Schizosaccharomyces pombe: one gene and its partner. The gene in region 1 interacts genetically with each later gene. Each region holds a gene or a part of one and is shown on either strand. Other genes may lie near its edges.

Region 1 (4,282 bases):
TGCTAAAATGCCTTGAAGTTAAATCATGCTAATTGAAATATACGCGTTAATGACCCCGAAATTGTTTGTAAAAGTTTTTTTTTGTTTGCAAGTTTCTTTCTATCTTTGGAAACTATATATATATTTTAAAGTTGCATATTGCGTTTAAGGTCTCTTCCGGTTTCATCAGAAGTCAAGCTCTAAATTAATACAACTGCTGTTATTTGAATAAAGGATACGGCTTAAAACGATTATTGGAAATAGGAATTATTAGATGATTAAGAATATTCATTTTTTGTTATCGTGTATTACTAAGTAGGCTTGCTGTAGCAACAATAATAAAAATGATAGCATTTTGCTCGATATGTATTAAACCCTTATTCAATCTTTGGTTTTTAAAAGTGTAATGTGATATTGATACCTTAACAACATTATGCATTTTTTGAAGCAATACCTCTTTTACTCACCCAGACGTATGAAGACCCAGGAAATCAAGAATGTTACACTCGAAGACGTTGATTTTTTAAAAAACTTAGGGGTTTGGGTGGAGATATATCATCATCTAGAAAAAGGACTTCTTCAGCAATGTTTCAATTTGGTAAAAAAGAACATGGAAGCACTATATCGACAAAGCTCCTTCGGATGGGATGATTCAGAGAAATTGAAGGAAATGGAGATGGAAAAATTAGAGTATATTTGTATTTTTGAAAAAACCTCGAAAAAATTGGTAGGATTTCTGAGTTTTGAAGACACTGTGGAAGCAGGTCTGACTTGTTTATACATATATGAGATACAGCTAGATGAGCATATACGAGGGAGGAACGTTGGGAAATGGTTATTAAAAAATGCAAGTATACTTGCATATCGACGAAACCTAAAATATATTTTCCTGACAGTATTTAGCGCCAATTTAAACGCCTTGAATTTCTATCATCATTTTGATTTTGTACCTCATGAGTCATCTCCCCAAGAGAAAAAATTTAGATCAGGAAAAGTAATTCATCCGGACTATTATATACTTTATACGAAGTCCAGAAAGGATTGGTAATTGAGCTTCCGTATACACACATGCTTCATACCTTTTTGCCATCCCCCTCTAAAACTACAAAATATGTGTATAGTCTCTTTTCTTCTTTGGTGCATCCAATCTCTGAGTTTAATGTTTTGCATTGAAGTCATCAAATTTTGTGTATTTTTTAAATCTACGATACCATACATTATGACCTGGTCCCATCAAAATATTGTTCCATTTACTAAACCTTTAAAACTTTAGTAAAATATTTGAAATTTCTGTTCAGGACTTTTGTTTTATTCCATTAGCAACGTTGTAATGTTACATGATGCGAATTGCTTTTCAACCATAACAGCTTAGGGATTGGAGGGGCTACAATTTCTATTTTAATTTATTCATTAATGTCAAAATATTTCTACCTATATTGAGGTATATAGTTACTATCTTTTTAATTACTCAAAGAAAATCACTTAGGATATCGATTACTTCTGTTTCAAATTCAAACCTAGAAGTATAGATCAGAGAAAAATTACCGACAATGATAACTAAAATTTTCAGCATTCCTTTCTCGTTTCCAATGGCATTCAAACCATGATTGCTTTTAGTGTTAAAAAACAAAAACAAAAAAGAACGATTAATTCCGAGACAGTCAACTCCATCAACTACGAAAAACAATTAAATATTTTTTATGCATTTCTTGAAATAAACTACAGCAAAAATCTTTCTTTTCAACCAGAATATCAAGAAAACTTCACTCCTTATTCGTACCTCATACAAGTCCAAATAACGAGGAGAGTATCCTATTGTGATTTTAACAAACTCCAACTTCCTTGGAATTCAATTTTTAAGTATTAGGCGTATATTTTTGATATCAAGTTTAACGGATTGTATTGTACAACATTAAAAAGTAAACACTGCTACGTCACACAAAGCTCGGATTTGATTATGATTGGCGGACTTTCAACAGTGTGTTGTTGCTAAGCCGCCTTTTGTTTACCATTGTCTGCGAAAACATTCGTTAAATGCTGCTGTATGATTCTTTATTTTTAGTAGGAAAAACGTTCTTGTCTTTAACCAACAACAACAGAAGGTATCTATACCTTGTTTGTTCAACAAAACGGGTTTAAACAGATAAATATAACAAAATGAATAAAGCAAACGATTATACACTAGGAGTGGAGATGATCCCTCTTAGTATGGGAGAGTTTTTTGAAGAGATCGATCATATTCGCGATGCCATTCGTCAAATCGAAGATAATGTCGGTCGAATTGAGATGTTGCATCAACAATCGCTGCAAGAAATTGACGAAGCAAATATTGCAGCTACGACTCGCCATTTAGAAGGTTACACATCAGATACTCGACGTCTCCAAACTAGCGTTCAGTTGGCCATCCGGTCATTAGAGTCTCAAAATATGCAGCTGCCACCCGATAATGACACAGCCACCAGAAAAACACAGACCGAAGCTGTAAAAAAGAAATTTATGGACCAAATTCGTCACTTTTTACAAATAGAAAAGACATATCGTGCTCAATATGAACAACGTATGCGTCGGCAGCTTGAAATTGCCAACCCCAGGGCTACTGAAGATGATTTTCAAACCGCTATAAATGAAGAAAATGGTGGACAAGTATTTGCTCAGGCTTTGCTTCGATCAAATCGGTCTGGTGAAGCTCGCACTGCATTACGGGAAGTCCAGGAGCGTCATGCCGATATTAAAAGAATTGAAAGAACCATTGCTGAACTTGCACAGCTTTTCCAGGATATGGCTACTATGGTACAGGAGCAAGAACCAATGGTGGATAAAATTGTAACGGATGCTGTTAACGTTCGCACGAATATGGGTGAAGGAACTCAGCATATGGATAGAGCTATCAAGAGCGCTAGAGCAGCTCGTAAGAAAAAGTGGATTTGCTTTGGTATTTGTGTTGTTATCATTTGTGTAATCGTTGCTGTTTTATGTGGTGTTTTGATTCCTGTTCTTGGCAATAGACATTGATCAACGGTCATTCTTCCTTGTTGCATGAAAAGTTTTTTTCTTTTAAAAAATCATGTTTTTCATTACTTGGTTTTAATGATATTCTTTTATTCTTCTAGTATCTTGACTGTTCTAACCATAATCCTTTTGCTTACCCCTTTTTTTTCTGTTTCTTTTCTTTTAAACCTTTCTTCCTTGGACTTGTATAGTTTGTACAATTTTACCTTTTTCACCCTTTATCCACGTTATTCTTATTCATTTTCATTTCCTTTCATCCATCTCTTGCAAAATTCTCTGCGATCGTTATTACAATCCCTGTCTACACCTTTCCGTTTCCCCATCTACCCTTACTTAATATTTGAGTTGCTGCAAATGTATTTATTTTCAAATGCTGCAGTGATATGGCCGGTTAGATATCACCTTTGAAACGTTTACCTTTTTAGCATATTTCCCGTTTGAACGGTCCGATTGTGATTTATGGACTCTGGAAAGTCTTTTCATTTTCACTCATCGCTCGTTACTTAAGTTGCAGTGTAAAATATTTGGACTACACGTCTGGCATTGTTATTTTGTTTATTCATGGCATGCTGCTTCGTTCTTTACCCCAGCAGTGTTTTACATCATTCTCGGGTTTTATATTGGTAGAAACCAACAAAATTTATTTGGTTTTTTAAAAGACGATAACAGCATTGTTTTAACAGTTTATGTGTTTATACGTATATGAACGGAATCGAAGTTCATCATCAGTTCTGGATATTTCAATAAACGTTGTTGTATATTTTCAAAATGCTTAAAAAAAATAGGCGTAATTTACTGTAGAGACGACCATGAGTTGAATGTAGTAATTTATTTAAATGGCATAAGCGATATTATATTATAACTCATCGACAGATGATTCCTTGTCTTCCATTCCATTAACAGCATTTTCGTTTGCGCTGTTTTGGGTGTTGAGTAAAGACTGCTTGAGTTGATCAGGGGAGCACGCAGCAGGGCTCTTCATTTTGATTAAATACTCACATTTCTGAGCCTCCAGTACACTAACAATCTCATTTTCTACTCCACATTCAACAGTAACAATGGCAGATCTATGAGGACCATTCCAGCAACTTTGACCATTTTCATACTTTAGAACATTTCCTTCCTGCGAGGCAAAATTTCTAGAGTTGTTAGCAAACACATACCAAAGCAAATCTACACCTACCCTAATAGAATGGAATCTTGAAAAACATTTTCGTAAAACACCACCTTGTATGTATAGCCACCAATTTCACGTTTTGTTTCCATTCCCTTGATAGCTCTGTACAAATCCCAC
Region 2 (3,914 bases), on another chromosome or scaffold:
AACAAATGAGGGATTTTTAGTGATTGCCTTATGAGACCAACTTATAAATGCAATGTCATAAAGTAAAGAGTGCAATCTGAGTTTCAGCATGTACTCCGGATAATCTTGTAAAATAGTGATGCTATTAGCATTCATCAACGATAGTGTATTGTTAAGAAATGAAGGAGAGCTGTAATCTAGCGATAATAGATCAAATAACGCATCCAAAACCGAATAAATGATGAAACCTATAGTACGCTTCTCTTCTACAAATCCTTTAAGCCATTCCGGAAAAACACTAACAAAGTCATTTAAACATGTGCGAAAAAATGAAGCAATAATGTAAGCCCAGTTCATGTCAGATACTTCAAAAGGTGTAGCTGTAACATTTTTTAGCAAGTTTTTTAAGAAAGAAGACACTTCCTTAAATGAATCAGCGGCAGACCAAAAGGATGAGGAATTGCAGCAAATTCGAAGACAGGACATTTGTTGAGAGGATAGAGATTCAGAAGTCTTTACCAAATTTAAAAGATAATCTTTTAAAATGGACTCACATGCAGCAGTAATGGATTGTAAAGGAAGAAGTTCTAAAAACATGTAAGTACGTTCCCAAAATTCAGGACTACTTATAGACACGAAATTACAATCACTGTCAGAGGAATTTTGACTTTCAAACACTACAGTATTAAAAACGGCGTCAACTGTAGCAGAAGAAATTCTTATTTCAGTATTTTCCTTAAAAAAGCTATGAACCCATTCCAAAACATCGGGATGGGAAGCTTCATAGAAAAATAGTAAATAACCAGGAAGAAATATATTAGAACACCAATCTGAAAGTAGACCATTAAATGCATCTATTGCATTTTTATAAATATTTTTACAGGTAAACAATTTAGGATTCAAGAGGGTTTCGAAAATTAAGCAAGGCAAAGACGTGAAGTCAATTGTTTCATCCTCCAGGGCCTTGAAGTCCTCTAAGACACGGATAATATCCCATTTATTCCACTTTTCCTGTAAATCGGTAATTGAAAACCCAGTAAAAGAATATGAACCTTTCGCAAGGGATTCATTTCGAAGTTCATAATAAGCTTGTATACAAGAAGTACAAGAGCGTAAACGCTCATGATAGGCATTTAATACCCATTTAAAGCTCGGAGTTTCATCATGTGCAAACCAAAAGAAGGTAGGTTGTATATACTGAGTCAGTAGTCCTGAGCAAAACCAATGCTGACCCTCTTTACTAGACGATAATTTTTCAAAACAATCTTGATCGCTAAGATTCTCCGCCATTTGTAACAATCAAATTTAATATTTTTTTAATGTTATGAAGTAAATAATATTTTTTTTGGAAATTTCAACCTGTTTTTCTGATAAAAGAGTGAAAACAAAAAAACAAACAAAAGAAATGTAGGTAAGTGAGTATTGTCTCTTTTTTAAAGACTTTTTTCTAATAAATGTATGATTAAATGGACCCAAATAAACGTTGTTTCACCGATAGACCAAAAACCCAGGAAAAATCTAATATTGCAAGTGCCAAAACCAAAACCCTAATCCAGACGTAAATCGTAACGTAAATAAAATTTTATTTACAAAAGATCTCAAGAATAAAATAACAAATAACGTTTCGGACGCTACAGCGATGAGAGGAGACCTTTTAACACTATGTGAAAGTTAAAACTTTCATAAAAATTTCATAACTCAAGGAAATTTAGAAGAAGAAATATATTGTTATGAACAGCTCAAATCGCCAAGAAACAAGACGTGTTTCCAAATCTCTATTCCAAAGGGCGTAGTTGGTTCCTCCCAAATTCACCAATACTAAGGATTTGTTTACGTTATTTACTATGAGGGTACAGCTAGTTACATGTTTCTTATTGTAAAAAGGCAAGAAGTAATTTTATTACTTTATTTTATTTTTTTTCTTTAATTTATATAAGTATAATCACAAAACTGCTTTGCAACCCAACATTACAAAGCCAGATGTTTAACGCAATGGAAAGAGGATTAACGAATTGGTACACATCAACTCCAACCGAGCGCAAAAATAAATCCTCCACCAACTAACACATACGACCATGTCTGAGCCATATGACCCATATATCCCGGCGGAGCCTTCTGCAGCTGTTCGTAGTGGAAATGCTGCTGCTTCGTCGACGCCGAATATGAAGACAGCTGCAATTCAGCAGCAGATTGACGATACTGTGGGGATTATGCGTGAAAACATTTCTAAGGTTTCAGAACGTGGAGAACGCCTTGATTCTTTACAAGATAAAACAGGTATGATATTTATTTTTGTTAACAGTTAAATTTTTTTTTTGAACGTTTAGCTAACTTCTTTAAGATAACCTTGCTGTTAGCGCGCAAGGCTTCCGTCGTGGCGCCAATCGTGTTCGCAAGAAGATGTGGTGGAAGGACATGCGTATGCGTCTTTGCATTATCATTGGTATCATCATTTTACTTGTTGTCATTATTGTTCCTATCGCAACAAAATTTCATGGCAAGTAAGAAGATGTATCATGTAGCTTAGTCGCATGCCGAGTCAAAATATTTGCTGTTTGAATACTTTTTTTTCAAGCGTATTTTTGTCTCTGGTTTTTTTCTTCCTTCTCTCTTTCTTTCTCTCTTGCCTGACACAACAACCTATAAATCGAATTTTAAGAAAAAAGCTTCTGATGTAGACAGGGCCACTTTTTTTGCAAAGAGATAACGCATTTTTTCTCAAGATCCTTTATTCGTTTTTATTTTTCTTGCATATACATACTTGATGACTGACGGGTCAATGATAGTGAATACCAGGTTGGTTTTTTGTTGAGCAATTTGGTTTTGGCCTGTATTGCTTTTTCCTCTTTTCTTCTTTCTACACCTCACCATACATATCATGGGCCTTGCTTGCTTGACAAAGGAAATCTTTATGGATACAAAATTATCATTACTTTCCGTACTTAAGATGGTAAATAGAATTTTTGTTTCCTTCTCGGTATTTCTTTTCTATTCCGCTCTTTATATGGATAACCCTATAGCATAAAGATGGATAATGTTTTAATGTATACAGATTAGCCTCGATATTCCATTTGTCTACGGCTTTTTTCTAATTCTTCAAAAGTACTTAGTACGGGAGCAAATTTGTTATCTTATTTTCATATTTTTCCTTTAGAAGCTAGCTTCTTTTTATACTGATTATTGCACTGATAGGTGTATTAAAAAACCACTATTCTTAATTAATTTTATAGAGTGAAATGTGTAAACCTGATAATTAGGAAATATTTTTTAAGTTTGCTCACACGTGGTTTTATATCCAGATTAACAATTGTATTATTTTTCGACTTCTATTTTGCTCAACAGATATTGTGGTCTAATCCTTCATTCGTGTAGTATTTTAAATTTTGAATGCAGCACGGTTTACGAATTAAGATATATTCATCAACTGGGTTCAACAGTACTGCATTTGTTTTTGTTTACTATCAATGTAACTTAACGTAATTTAGAATTTAATTGTATCAGAAAGTAGTATATTTGCTCCCCTTAAAATGCTTTAGTCTGAAGAATAGATAATAATAGCCCAATATTTTAATAATTTAGATGATTGAAAAAATCAACAGATTTTTTTGTAATATTGTTTGTATGAATTCTCGTTGAAATATAATAATAAACTACATATATTAAATCGTTCACTTTTACTGAGTGATTGAATTAAATATATCTTCAAATATTTGTATATAATTTTAATAAATTGTAATTGTCTTCCTTACTAGAATTACGCTTATAATGATACTAACCAGAAAATTTAAAAAATATATAAGTTTGATATGTAAATAGATTGTGAAAAACCAGGGAATCACAACAACTCTTGATATTTATCAAAACAAAGATGATTATAACCTACATTTTTACTACGGTTCCTTAGGTAACAAGTGCTACCTATAGTTAGAAGTGTA

Evidence for each region.
Region 2: of psy1 (region 1) and syb1, extra expression of one rescues a mutant of the other (dosage rescue), as found in Schizosaccharomyces pombe (2 studies listed by BioGRID, with this or other methods).

What each region holds. Positions count from the first base shown.
Region 1 is NC_003421.2:1,027,001-1,031,282, reverse strand, and holds psy1 (plasma membrane SNARE Psy1), read left to right. Parts: upstream 1-2,063; 5' UTR 2,064-2,136; coding exon 2,137-2,991; 3' UTR 2,992-3,782; downstream 3,783-4,282. Other genes in the region: putative histone N-acetyltransferase Naa40, read left to right, coding at 455-1,027; glucosidase II beta subunit Gbs1, read right to left, coding at 3,845-4,127, 4,172-4,282.
Region 2 is NC_003424.3:3,266,257-3,270,170, forward strand, and holds syb1 (synaptobrevin family receptor), read left to right. Parts: upstream 1-2,034; 5' UTR 2,035-2,054; coding exon 2,055-2,256; intron 2,257-2,320; coding exon 2,321-2,484; 3' UTR 2,485-3,414; downstream 3,415-3,914. Other genes in the region: helicase Sen1, read right to left, coding at 1-1,269.